Linked DNA regions of Elephas maximus indicus. The protein of the gene in region 2 interacts with the protein of the main gene of each other region in a pairwise test. Links are inferred from orthologs where the notes say so. Each region holds a gene or a part of one and is shown on either strand. Other genes may lie near its edges.

What was found. The genes of interacting proteins can lie anywhere in the genome.
Region 1: the proteins of ADAMTSL4 (region 2) and SMARCC1 interact in binary tests that used the Homo sapiens proteins (3 or more experiments, as listed by UniProt). The two-hybrid records come from large-scale screens. The link is inferred for Elephas maximus indicus from reciprocal best matches to the Homo sapiens genes ADAMTSL4 and SMARCC1.

Annotation. Positions count from the first base shown.
Region 1 is NC_064838.1:52,175,896-52,182,864, reverse strand, and holds the start of SMARCC1 (SWI/SNF complex subunit SMARCC1), read left to right. Parts: upstream 1-3,950; 5' UTR 3,951-3,965; coding exon 3,966-4,160; intron 4,161-6,969. UniProt on the Homo sapiens protein: Involved in transcriptional activation and repression of select genes by chromatin remodeling (alteration of DNA-nucleosome topology).
Region 2 is NC_064821.1:184,670,703-184,678,230, reverse strand, and holds the start of ADAMTSL4 (ADAMTS-like protein 4), read right to left. Parts: upstream 2,426-7,528; 5' UTR 330-2,425; coding exon of another isoform or gene 286-329; 5' UTR 158-285; coding exon 138-157; intron 1-137. Other genes in the region: translation initiation factor IF-2-like, read left to right, coding at 286-329, 2,473-2,533, 2,641-3,476. UniProt on the Homo sapiens protein: Positive regulation of apoptosis. May facilitate FBN1 microfibril biogenesis.

The sequences.
Region 1 (6,969 bases), on a different chromosome or scaffold from region 2:
GGAAACTTTTGACTAAAATTTCTTTACATACTTTTTCTGCCTCATTCTTTCTCTCCTCTCTTTCTAGAAATATAATTACCTAGAAGTTAGGCCATTTGATATTGTTCCATAGGTACATGAGTCTGGTTTTTTTTTTTTCTCAGTTGTTCAGATTGGATAATTTCTATTGATGTATCTTGAAGTTCACTTTCTTCTGCCATCTCTATTCTGCTATTTAGTCCATCCAGTGAATTTTTATATCTTTAAATTTCATACATTTTTCAGTTCTAGATTTACCACTAGGTTTTCTTTTAGTTTCTGTGTGTCTGCTGGTTTTTTCTATTTGTTCATTCATTATGAGCATATTTTTTTTACATCCTTGGGTAAATTATACTACTTGCTTTACATCCTTGTCTGCTAATTCCAACATCTGGATAATCTTAGGATTGGTCTCCACCAATTGTATTTTCTTTTGAATATGGGTCATATTTTTCTATTTCTTTTTATATTTAATATTTTTGGATAATGTCCTGATCCTTGTGAATTATATGTTGTACATACTGTGAATTCTGTTTCTCTGAAGAGTACTGATCTTTTTCTCAGTTAGCCGGTTAGCCTGGCTGAACTCTAATTCCAACCCCTATCTTTTGTGCAATGGACAGGAACTAATCTCTGTTTACTTCTTTTAGCTTAGTTGAGCTGCTTGGAATCTGTTCCATGCATACATATTTCAGAGATTTAGTAGAGTTTATACACAGAATTTAGGGCTCCCCCTTTGTGACTCTCTCCTTCTAGGATTTTTTTTTTTATTGTGGTTGCTCCAAACTCTCTCCTCCAATTCTTCAAGTTAGTAAGAATATGAGTTTACTATCCAGGTTTTAGCCATCTGCTATAGGGTTAATTTCATTTTCTTTGCCAAGGATTAAAATAACAACAAGGTCCCTGTGATAGTTAATGTTATATGTCTATTTGACTAGACTCCAATTCTCAGTGGTTTGGCAGACATTGGACTGATTACTCTTCCACAATGTAACATAATCACTTTCATGATGTGATCAGTCAATGAGTCGAAAGGGGAGTTTCCTTGTGGGTGTGTTCTGGCAAGGCTCACGTGCTCAATCTCTCTCCCTCTGTCAACCCTGCACTCTTCTGGTCGCCTGACGTCTGACTCTTGGGACATAAGCCTGCAGAAGTCTTTAGCCTGGCACTTGACCTGCAGATTTTGGATTCGTGAGTCCCTGCAACCCTGTTAGTCAGCAGAGGCTTCCAGCCTGCTGCCTGACCTGCAGATTTTGGGATCATCAGCCCCTGCAACCATGTGAGCCAGCAGAAGCCTTCAGCCTGCTGCCTGATCCACAAATTTGAGACTTGCCAGTCCCTGCAATTGTGCGAGCCATTTCCTTGAAGTAAATCTTTCTCTATATAATTATGTATGGGTTCACTGGTTTTGCTCCTCTAGAGAACTCAGACTAAGATAGTGTCCAATTGTGGTCAGTGAAACATGAGGAGTCTCCTGAAAACTTATGAGAACTGCTAAAGTTATCTTGTTAGAAACTTCAAAATTGGGCCTACATTGAGAAATGGCTGAGTCCAGGGCTGTGGAGAGTACAAGATGAACCTGGAACATCTCATTATTTCAGAAGGCAAGACAATGCCAAAAGAATAATGCGGTCCTGTAAAAAAGACACAGATGCCAGTTGAGGGGTCTCCCACTGGCTAACTCTGGCACATTTTTAACATAAAAGTCAATAATGAACATGGATGAACATCAAAAACTTATGCTCTGTGAAATCAGTCAATCACAAAAGGACAGATATTGTATGATCTCCCACCCACTGCTGTCAAGTAGGTTCCGACTCATAGCGACCCTACAGGACAGAGTAGAACTGTCCCACATGGTTTCCAAAGCTGTAATCCTATGGGGCAGTTCTACTCTGTCCTATAGGGTTGCTATGAGTTGGAATCGACTTGATGGCAATCAGTTTGGTTTTTAAATCTTTACAGAAGCAAACTGCCACATCTTTGGGTTCAAACTGCCGACTTTTTGGTTAGCAGCTGAGTGCTTTAACCACTGTGCCACCAGGGCTCCTTTGTAAGATCTCATTTAAGTGAAATAACAAGAATAGGCAAATGTGTAGAGACCAAAGTTTATTAGTGGTTACCAAGGGCGAGAAGGACGGGGGGGAAAAGGGGAACCATTGTTTAGGAAGCGAGTGTTTGTTTATGGTGATGGGAAATTTGGCAACAATTATGGGTGATAGTTACATAACATAATCAATGTAATGGATATCATCAAACTGTACACCTGAAAAACACTGAATTGGCAAATGTGTTGCATGTATTTTTATAACAACACAAAATCAGTAATGATAGTAATAGACAATATAACCCATCGAATGAAATAGGAAATCAGGAGTCTATCCTGGTATAGTAGCCCTGGTGGTGCAGTGGTGGAGCAGTTGGCTACTAACCAAAAGATGAGCAGTTCGAATCCACCAGTCTCTCCTTGGAAACCCTATGGGGCAGTTCTAGTCTGTACCATAAGGTTGCTATGAGTTGGAATCAACTTGATGGCAAGTTTTTTTTTTTTTTTAATTTTATCTTGATATAAGTGGAAAATTTGGTGAGGAATGGTTTATATACTTTTGAAACACTTTTCTAGAATCTATGAATTATAAAAGGGAAAAGAACAACTTTACAGTGAAAACTGTTAGATACTCTTTAAATCAAATCACCAAAGTAATGGGAGAAATGAAATCTTGTGCCACCTAATAATATGCAATGAAAAGAACACAGCATTATTCCTGTGACATACCTGCGAAAGATGCACATCTGTCAACAAACCAAGACTAGGCTGTCTAATAACTTATGGTTACAATAAGAAAATAAGTAAAAATAACAGGGTGTATAAGTGCTACCCAGAGTTGAAGATTTTAAGCAGCCCTGGTGGCACAATGGCTTAATTCTTGGTTGCTTAATTCTTGAATCAGCGATTCAAGCCCACCAACCGCTCAGCAAGGGAAAAGACCTAGTGATCTGTTTCCAGAAAGATTACAGCCTAGGAAACCCTATGGGGGCAGTTCTACTCTGTCCTGCAGGGTCACTATGAGTCAGAACCCACTCCACCTAACAACATGTATAAACACGTGTCATTTATTTTCAGGCAAGACAGCAGATTGTAACTTCACAACCTTTAGCTTTTATTAGTATAGTGTCATCAATCGAAGATTGTATGCTTAGGGATCTCTCTGGAACACCTCCAGGTTATAGATTTGGAAAGCTACGTAAGTGAAAATCAGAGAAGGGCAGTGGAGTTCGCAGGAACAGCTAGCTGCCGAAATGAGCTTAGGCAGGAATGTGACAGTGTGGCTGGAGCCACGCAAGGGAGGACAAATCGGCTAAGTGAAGCGGCTCCGGGGCATAAAGGACCCTGACGGACGTTTATAAAGGCAGACTCGGTCGCTTCGTCTAGAGGGTCTGAGGGCAAGCGGGGAGTTGGTGCAATTCCTACCCGCAGGTGGGTCCCTCAGCACTCTATACCGGCTTTCCCTTCGGCATTTCTCACACCGGGCCTTTCCTCTCCGGTGTGGCAGACGATGAGACAAACGCGCCATGCGGTTACGGACCGCATAGCTACCCGACGCCGGAACCAGGGAAAGAGCGAGGCGTGCCGACGCCCAACGGGGGAAGCGGAGAGCGTAAACTGCAGGAAGAGGCGGGCAGAAGCGCTCGTCCGAAGTCGCACGCCGGGTGGTAGTGTTGCGCATGCTTGTGTGCATGGGAGTGCTGCGCATGCGTGTGCGCGTGCTCGCGTCGGTTAGGGCGCCAGCCCGAGATGGGGCGGGGCCGGGCATCCGCGCCGGAAGGGGGTTGGCTGGGCGGGGCTGGGAGGCGGAGGTGGCGGCGTCGCGCGCGCGCGCGGGTGCGAAGGAGAAGCAGCGCGAGGGCCCGGGCAGGCCGGGCGGTGGGGACGACGGACGGCCACGATGGCCGCGGCGGCGGGCGGTGGAGGGCCGGGGGCGGCAGCGGGCAGCGCGGGCGCGGGTGGCACGGCGGCAGCTGCGGGCCTGGCCGTTTATCGGCGGAAGGACGGGGGCCCGGCCAGCAAGTTTTGGGAGAGCCCGGAGACGGTGTCCCAGCTGGACTCGGTGCGGGTCTGGCTGGGCAAGCACTACAAGAAGGTGGGTTCGCGCGCCCGGGGGGCGCCGGGAGGGCACGCGCCGGGGACCGGGAGCGGCTACTGGCCTCGCGGGCCTCGGGCCGCCCCTCCCCCTCCGCGCGCCACGAGGGACAACAAAGGCCGGCGCCGGGGCCGCCACGCCCCCGCTGTCCACTCTCCGCGGCGGCCGGACCTGGGCCCGCCGGGGCCGGCACGCCCTCGCGAGCCCACGCACCCCGGGCGAAAGCTGCGTTCCCTAGTGTGCGGGAGCTGGCTGAGCCCAGGGCACAGAGGGTGTGAGTCTTTCTCTTTTGTTAGTTGCGTTAGATGCGTGAACAACGATCATTAAAAACTCAGCCAGCCTTGTAAACGCAGCTCAAGTTTTGTTTAGAGACTGAGACTCCGAAGTCTAGTGAGGTAACACAGGTTTTACTACCTGTTGTTGATTTGCTTAAAAAAAAAAGGGGGGGGCTATGGAAGGTTTGGTAATCCCGGTGGCGCAGTGGTTAAGAGCTACGGCTGCTAACCAAAAGATCAGCAGTTCGAATCCACCAGGCGCTCTTCGGAAATCTGTGGGGCAGTTCTGCTCTGTCCTATAGAGTCGCTATTAGTCGGAATCGACTCGACGGCAGTGGGTTTGGGCATGGAAGGTTTTACTCGGAAGTTAACAACAGGTCAATAAAATGAAGTATAGTCTTGATGAGAACTAATTTTTAAAAATGATAGTGTTTACTTCGTTGTGCTTTTGGTTCTGAGTACAAAGGTTAATGTTTACTTGCACTCAATGTGTTCTTCAGTGTGGCCTTCTAGAGAACCCCATTTATATTAGATCACTCCACTTCCTATCGTTTTCGTACTAGTGGTTACCACTCTCTGAAATTATTTTTCGTTTACCTGATGGTCGTCTGTTTTTGGAATGTAAGTTCTGCTGAAGAAGTGGTTTTGAAAGTTGCCGCTTAACCCCTTAACAAATGTTTTTAATTCAGGAATGACTCCATTAGAAGGTGTAATGAGGCAAACAGCTAAAAACACTCTCTGTGCCCACGACAAGTTTTTGGAGCTTTCTCTCAGTTCTGTAATTTCCCTCATTGAGGACCATAGCAGGGCGGGGCAGGGACCTTGTCAGGCCTGTTTACCACCGTGTGTTCTGGAAGGCGGTTTGTGTTGGGTGCCTCACCCTTAGTAGTAGTTTAGTAAATATTTGTTGAGTGAATGAACAGATAAACTAGTCCAGGAACCTATTCGTTTGGGGCCTACAGTGCGGTGAAGCCTGCCAGCTTTTGGCAGTTGTTCGGCATGGGCAGGGGTCTTGGGTTCCTTCCCCATCACACTGTGATTCATTCAGAAATGACTTTTTTTTTTTTATCTGAAGTTGTAGGAAGTGAGAGGCAGTTATATCATTTGACTTTTCTAGTATGGGAGTCGTATTTGGGACTGTAGTTTTTCTCATCTACATGTAAGTAGACAGTATTGTACTCATTTGTGTAGTGATAAATTGGTCACTTTTTTTTGATAGGTTACAGAGCTTCTGGAAGTGGCTAAGAGAATTGGGTATATTGTGAAAATATTTCTTTTTATCAGGTTTCCTTCAGCCAATACTTTGGGTCTTAAATTTAGTGTAGCTTTAAAAAAGAAAATACTGAGGAGAATTATCCTTTTGAGTATAAGGAAGAGAATGGAAAAGGGCAAATAAATAGTCACTTCCACCTTTCCAAATTCTCAGTGTGGGTCAGCTTGGACCCAGTTTTAGGAGGGCAGCTTTAGACTTGGATAATCCTTCAGAGATTTGTTTAGGTGGGTGAGAAAATGGCTGAGAGGCTAACTAAAAGGTTCCTTGTGATGTTGAAGCCACTTGACTAAGGTTGGCTCAGTGTCTCTGAGGCCTTAAAGGTAGAGTCAAAGTTAGGCTTGACTTATCTAGGGCCTTGTGAAGCTAGAGCAGATTTCTTGGGCCTGCTCAGATTCGCAGTTGTATTCCGTGTCAGGCCTGGCAGCCAGAATCCTACCAGCCTCTGGGAGTGGTGTTGGAGTGATGGAAATACTAACTAGAAAGCTCTTGGCTTCTTTTCTACACAGTATATTTCTGCTTGGTATGCACATTGATGAGTTTTAACTAAACATTTCTGTTGCTTTCAGTGCTACATTTTCAGAGCAGCTACAACTTAAATATCAGCAGCTGAATGAATTAAGGTGACATGGCTAGTTCCATTTTTATTAATGGTTTTTTCCATGTATTCAGTTACTGAGCATTTACCATATGTCACATATCCAATATTTAAATCCTCACAGCAGTCCTGAAAGGTAAAGATTTTATTTATTTATTTACAAATAATAGAAATGTGAAGCTCTGGATTTAAGTAACTTCTTCAAGATCATGGTTAGGAGTAGCAAATTAGGGATTCAGTGACAGTCCACCTGGCTGCAAAGCCCAGAATCTTTTTGCTGCCTGCAATCTCTCGATTGAAGGAACTCACAATCTGTGGGAAGAGATACACATAGATACCTGCTTGTGAATTAAACCCAGGCAGTTTCAAATTAAGAGAGAGCTTCTTTCTCTTTGTTTTTAAATGCTCTTAGTAGGTGTTCAGTTAGTATTTGTTGAATAAATGAACAGATTAACTAGGCTTAGGAACCTATTCATTTAAGGCTTTATTGATAAATTTGGTCTAGCAACAGAGGGAGGGTGAATACTTTTTGACTGTGGTGAACTTCAAATGGGTGAAAGGAGTTGACAACCTTAGTGAAACACGGGAGGTTCACTGTTTGCCTGAGGTTGCATTTTCAGTCCAGTAGCAGTGCAGAGGCTTGCTCATGCCCTATCTAAGCTGCCT
Region 2 (7,528 bases):
AGCAGCTCCCCACATCCTGACCACCAGCCTCTCAGAAAGCACAAGTTACTCATCACTTCCCCTGCCTCTCCCTGTGCTCTCCCCTCCCTCATGTCCAGGGACAGAGCTCCCCCCACCCTGGCAGCCCCACCTCTTACCTGCCGGCCCACTTCTCCATCACTTCTCCCTGATTGCCCAGGGCTAGGGAGAAGGGGACTGGAGGTAAATGCACTACTCAGGCATCTGGGCGTGGAGGGGAGGGAAGCCTCGTGGTTACTTCAGTCTTCAGAGAGCTGGGGCGTCGGGATGGATGAGCCCTCAGAAGGCTGTCTCAGAGTGAAGATGGAGGGGTGGGAGAGACTGGCCCACCTTTTTATGATTCTAAGGGTGGGAGCAGGGAGTCATACTGCCTTTGTCCATCTGCTGAAGCTAGAGGGTGGGGGTCTGACCTCAGCCTCCCAAGTATTGGCTCAGTCCCCTCCCCCTGGCCCTGTAGGAACCTCTGACTCCTCCCTAGACCCAACTTGGGTGTTTCTAGGCCAGCACAGAGTTTTCTTAATATGGTTTTCATCTGGGTCTCCCTCCTGCCCCCTAGGGGTACCTGGAAAGTTGAGGAAGGAGGCTCTGGTGAGGATATGCCAGACGTCCCCTCCGAGGATCTGACAAGGAGCCCCTTGGGTTTTCCAGAAACAAGAGCCTCCCCAGCCATCTCTGTTTCCTACCTCCCAGCTTTTTCTTTCCTTCTTAGCTAAGCTCCTTATGGAACAGTCAGGCACATCTCTGCCTGCCTCAAAAACTTTCGAGCCAAGGGATAAACTAAGTGGGTTGATGGTTTAATCTCAAGAGAAACAGATGATTTTCCCACTGCGATTTACGCTCCACTCTGGCCAGAGGTCCCTGAATGGCACAAATGGTCTGTGCCTGACTACAAACCTCAGAGTTGACAGTCTGAACCCACCCAGCAGCACTGTGGAAGAAAGTCCTGGTCATCTGCTTCCATAAAGATGACAGCCAAGAAAACCCTATGGAACAGTTCTGCTCTAACATATGAGGTTGCCATGAGTTGAAATTGACTCAATGGCAATGAGTTAATGGACTGGGTGCCAGGATCCTGGACTGGTTCAATGAGGGCTTGTTTCATGTGCAACTGTGACAGGCTAGGAGAACCTGAGGAGAGAGGCTGCCAGGGCTGCCCTTGCTCCCCAATCACAGGCCTATCATTCTCAAGATTCAGGAAGTTCTCCCTGAAGTCTAGCTTTGAGGGTTGGGGAAGTGGGGGTTGGAACCCTCCCCACCTTAAAGCCTGACTCTGCCCACCCCTCCTTGCCCTCCAGCCCCCTCCTTCTTCCTTTGAGCCCTTCCCATCCCCAGCCCACCATTTTGCTTCTAGTTCTGCTTTCCAGGAAAAAAAAAGTGTGTTTCTGTTGGAGCTGAAAGGCACCCAAAGAGGAGTCCAAGGAGCCAGTGCTGAGGTGGGCCAGCTCCAGGGCAGGAAAATGACAGAGAGGAGGGCAGGAATGTGCCTGGGGGTAGCAACACCCAGACCCACTCCCCTCTCTAAGACCCCAGGACTTGCGAATTTGAGGGAGAGACCAGAGTGGTCAAGCAGGGTCACCTCTGCTGCTCAGGGTTGGGATGGGGGAGATAGGCCGATGGCAGCTCCTTCCCCTGGCTAGGCCAGCCACTGAGGTCAGAGACTACACCCTGATGGGCGGGACGCTGGGGGCTCCCGAGAAGGGCCTACGTTCCACCCAAATCTCCATATCTCTGCCTGACTCTTGAAAACCCTAACTTGAGGTCGAAGCGAAGGAGAGATGGAGGAAGACCCTCACTGCCCTTCTCTGCTGCCAGGTCCCCTCTGTACTCCCTCTGTCTGTGCTTCTGTTACCAGAGGTTTGTATCTCGCTGTCTCTCTCCATGGGTCTACCCAGGACACATAATCCCGTCCTGAGCTGGGTTTGGCTTTGGCATATCCCTAGAGAAGTGAAGGGTGGGGGGTGGAGTGACGTGAGCTCCTGGGGCCCAGGCCAGGCCTGGCTCCCTCTCTGGAAAAGTCCCACCTCCCCCACCCCCCTGCACAGCTGGGCAGGGGGCAGATATCCCCTTCTCTCTGGAAACAGGCACACACCCCTTTTCACATCCCTCATCTGGTGTCTCTCAATGCCCAGGGTGAGGAAAGGAGACGTCAGAAGTGGACACTCTGGTGCCAGGCTGGAAGCTGCTCTCGACAACCTGGGCTCCTCCTGGCCACACCTCCTCACACTGGCCAGTGAAGATCAAGGAGCAAGACCTGGGCAGGGCTAACTCCTCAACACCCAGAGGGACCCACCTCTGGGAAATAGGGAGCCGCTGAACAGTATGTTTCTGGGCTGGTGGTGGAGAGTCCCTGTCCTGTGTCAGAACTCTTCGGTCCTCATCATGTCCTCCACTCTTGGGTCCTGGAGGACTGTACCAACAGGTGTCCTTCCTTTGGTCGACCTCTTCTGCCCTCAGGCTAAGCTGGATCAAGGGCACCCACCTGCATGCCTCCCAGCGCCCCTATTCCCCTCAAAAAGTAAAAGGCGGAGTGGGGGGCACACATTCTCGGAGGAGGGGAGGCGGCGTCGGCGCATGCCGGGAGGTCCTGGGTATGTTTTCCAATTTTACTATGTGACTGAGTAGGAATTTTGGCTTATTCCCCGCCCGAGTGATGGGGCCAGAGTTCTACAGGATCAGACTGCGCACCCCCCCCCCCCCGCCCCAGGGAATTCGACCCCAGGGTCTGGAAGATCTTCCGAGGCTCTAAGTGCCGGGGTCGGGGTCGTGGCGGGGGCGCGACCAAGGAGCGCGAGGCGCGGGGGCGGTGCGCGCGTTCGGGGCGGCCGGTCTAACGGGACCGGGAAGAGGGGGCGGCCGTGGCCGGGGTCCCAGGGAGGGTCTGTACCTGCTCTCCGCGCCCCCAGGGGCCGGTTAACCCTTCTGCGCCCGGGCGCTCTCTCGAGACAGCCTTGCTCCGCGGCGGCCACTGTGGCCCCAGAACAGGGCTCGGGACACTGCCGCCTCCAGCTGCGGCTCCGCCCCTGCGCCCCGCCCCGCCGCCGCCCCGCCCCGCCGCCGCCACGCGCCCCTCGGCCGCCCGGGGTGGGGACGGCCGACCTCCGGCTGCCTGTCGACCGGCCGGGGCCACCCACCCGGGGCCGCTGGCCACGGCGACCCCTGAGTGTCGGGCACCCTCCGACGGTTCGAGGAGCGAAGCCAAGGCGGTCGCAGCCTGGGCTGGAGGCAGCCGTCTCTCCCGGGCACTGTCGCCGGCCCGCGCGCTGGGCTCGGCTGGGGCTCGCGGACTCGCGGACCCCCGGCCCAGGGCCGGCTCTGGGTGGGCGGTGCGAGCGCGGCACCTGCCCAGGCGGGGCAGCCTGGAGAGGCGCCAAGGGTCCAGCTGGGTGGCGTAGGCGAACCAGCCCCGGGCCCCAGATGGAGGCTGTGCACCGGGCCGAGATGGCCCCGTCCAACCCCAGGTCCGTGTCGGTCAAAGCTCCTTTCTCCACGCAGCCAACGGTGCCACCCAGTCACTTCTGCCTCTCCCAAGTTGGGTGGTGAATCATAGTGGTTCTGACGGCTCGGGGACCTCTAAGAGCCTCGGTTTCTTCATCCATAAAATTTTACACACTGGGCGTAGCGGAAGGAATGCGCTGACTTAGGAGTCACACTGACCTGGATTTGAATCTCAGCCCCCAGCACTTGTTAGCTGTCTGGACTCGGGGTGAATACTTTAACTTCGGGGTGAATACTTTAACTTCTCAATGCTGCGGTTTCCTCATCTATAAAACGGGGCTAATTTGATATCTATGATAGGCTCGGAGATACATCTATCTATTAATTATAGCTGGAAGAATGCACCCCAAACTTGTAGGGGTGGTGACATCTGAGGAGGGGTTTGGGATTAGAGAAGGGATGGAGACTTTTTGCTTTTTACTCTGTATGCTTATATGTTGTTTGAATTTTTTTTTAACTACAAATTTTATCCATATATTGTTGTTATTATTTACCATCCAGTAGATTTGGACTCGGACTCATGGCGACCCCATGCGTGCAGAGTAGAACCGCTTCATAGGGTTTTCAAGGCTGTGACCTTTCCGAAGCAGATCACCCGGACTGTCTTCCGAGGTGCCTCTGGGTGAGTACAGACTGCCAGCCTTTGGCCTAGTAGTGGAGTGCTTAACCATTTGCACCATCCGGGGACTCCATCCATATATTAGTTATGTTAAAAATGAATAATATTTGTAAAATGGCTGATGGGAATAGATAATAAGTTGTCACTACTATTTTTTTTTTTTGCCATTTACTTATGATGTACGGTTATGTTTTGTTGGGTCTACTTGGTGTTTTGAAGGTTTTTTTTTTTTTCCAGTGACTTGTCAGTATTTTAAAAGCAAGATATTTTATAGCTTCTCTTGACAAACAAAAACACAAAAATAGACGCTCTAGCAACATTGCTGTGCATCCCCACAAAGAAACAGGGATCTCGAGTGCCCCCACCTAGCCCTGAGCACCTTTTGCCCTTGGTGCTGAGAACACAGTTAGAGGACAATCTCTTGCCTCAAGAGTTGGTCCAATGGTGGACAGACGCTGCGAGCCGGCGGGGATAAGTGCTGGGCTCAGCAAAAGCAACCATTATCTCGAAGACTACGCAAGTGAAACTATAAAATGCTTTTAAAATGCAAGAATTGTATCCTTATTTGAGTCACCATGCACATTTTGTTTTCTCAATAAAACCGTTCTTTCAGGACAGAGTCTATTGATGGTGCTTCGAATCATCTATATTTCTTCATATTTTGTATTTGTGTCTGTAGGGTTACAAGAAATATCTGAATTGCAGTGTTATGGAACAGGCAAATGAGTCCCAGGTGCCCAGGCCTGCCCTCCTGACTTTTCCCCCTGAACTCAGAGGCCCCGGGACAGGCAGGTGGGCTGGCTGGGGCACCTGAGACCCCGGTTACTGAGTCGGGGTGTAGGACGGTGTTGCTAAGGCTTCTATTTTTGTTTTTGCTTTTCCAAGAGCAGCTGTATTCTGGTTTTAAAAGTCAGTGAAAACGAACTTGTAAACACCAAGTTGTTGTTAGCTGTCATCGAGCTGGCCCCTACTCATGGTGACCCCATGCACAACAGAACAAACTACTGCCCAGTCTATCATAGTCTGGAAGGTTCCCCGAAATCTGTTCAGCATCATAGCAACATGCAAGCCCCCCCAGGTCTCCCACATGGAAAGCAAGAATTCTACCATTGCCTCAGAACTCCAAGCGGACCCAACAAAACACACCTGTGGGTCAGATTTGCCTGCAGGCTTTTGGATTTGTGCCTCTGCATAAAACCTCCTCTGTCCATCTTCCTAAAGGGTTTAGGCAGATAATAGGTTAACAGCTCCCTCCCAGGAGTGGTGTTTTATCTGGAGACTCCTGATGACACACGGTCCTAACCCAGAGGCTTATATATAGATGCAGATTTGGAGCGGGAAGCCCCTTTGCTCAGACCTCAGAGTATAATGCCTATGATGAACCACCCTGCTTATGGGGGAAGACGAAGATGTTTTAGGCCCTGGACCTTTTAGCGTCCCCCAGATCACACTCCATCAGCATCCACTTATCTACAAGGAGGTGAGCTGTGGGAAAGGAAGGTGGGAAGGAAGGCAGGAGAGTGAGAAGGGAATTTCGGAGGGGGGAAAATGTCCACCTTTGACATTTGTAGCTGCCATGAACTGAAGGTCAGAAATAGTCTTTTCCGTTAAGAAATGGCTGCAGACCAAAGAGCTCACAAGATTTACTACAGCGTCACCTCTCATGGCTTGATGTTCTGAAAATATTGTATAAAGAAAATAATTTCCTATGCCTCAGCAACTTGTGAAGTACCAGATTAAATTTGTGGACATTGTCTCAACGATAAAAAGAAGTTTCCTAAAAGATTAGGTAATAAGTAGAGGGAGAGAACAGATAAAGGACAGAGGGAGGGGGACAGGCTGAGTATTGGTCTGCCTTTTAGCTCCACATAGTGATTTAATAATAACAACATAGCTAAGGTGAACACAGTGCTTCCTCCGTGCCCGGGGCTGTTAGAAGAACTTTATACCCATTGCCTACTCGGTCCTCCTAGTAATCCTGTGAGGTGGGGACTGTTGAGCCATCTTATAGATTTGGAAACAAAGACACAAAGAGAAGTTCAGTAACTTGCTGCAAATCTCACAGCTAGAAAGTATGAGAGCCAGGATTCTAAATTTAGGCACCATCTGTATATGTTTTGTGCAAGTGAAATTTTCGAGAAAAGTTAGTTGAGCTCAATTAAAAAAAAAAATTTTTTTTTCAGGCAGTAGAGTAAGGAAGTTGTATTTGTGCTGAATGAAGTAACATTTTTAAAAAATGTATCGTTAAACACTTATTAAAAGTTGTGGTAAATATATAGGTAACAAACATTTGCCATTTCAACAATTGTCACACGTACAATGCAGTGACCTTAAATATGTTCGTTATGTTGTAAATAACGTTTTTAACTATGACTTTCATGTTTCACGTGAGACGTTGCTCCTATTCCAAGATAATGCGGATGCTAAAACTGATGTGTAAGGGGGGGTCCAGAAGCTAATGTGAAACTGTCTGTCTTTTGGTTAATAGTTATAACAACCATTTTCCAAAAGCCTGATGTTTGCCTTTCTGCCTCAGAATCATGGTTTGCTCAACTCCTTTGTTCCAGAAGAGCCACTCCATTCCCAGTTGCTAAACGCCAGGCTGGTCCCCGGGCGTTGATTCCCAGTGGCCTGTCACGTTATCTCACACTGTTTTTCGTTCTTTCAACTGATGCAGCTCTTCGGGTCATTTGACTTTGGTTTGCCCCCGTTAGTCCACTCCCCACAGCAGTTACGAGAAGGGCGTATTGTTACCTGTTCTCTACAAGGAACCTGGAGGTCAGGGAAGCACCTTCCATGTTTAGCTTTGTTTCCACCACTCTGCCGTGCACATACCAAAAACAAAAAAAAACCCAAACCGACTGCCTTCGAGTCGATTCCGATTCATAGCCGCCCTGTAGGACAGAGTAGAACTGCCTCATTGGGTTTCACAGGCTGTAATCTTTGCTGAAGCAGACTGCCACCTCTTTCTCCCCTGGAGCAGCTGGTGGTTTAACCTGCTGACCTTTTGGTTAGCAACTGAGTGCTTAACCACTGTGCTACCACGGCTCCTTTGCCTCGCATATAGTAGGCATTTAATAAATGTTTGTGGGATAAGAAGTGGTGAGTACTGCCTCAGCTCTGGCCACATTCCAGCACTGTCTGGTTGTCATGGCTGGGGTGGCTCTTGGGTGATGAATGATGAAGAAACAGGATGTGAGCCATTTGGTAACATGAGTACTGGGATGTGGACGGGCTGTTCTAGCCTCCCAACCACCGTTCTGTAGACTAAATTTGGTCAGAAATTCCCGAAGTTGGAATTCTTCTTGATTGGATTTCTACATTTCAATCTACCAGTGCCTCGCATGTGGGTCCTGGGATCCATGGTGACAGACTTGGCCTTGGTACTGCCCTGAG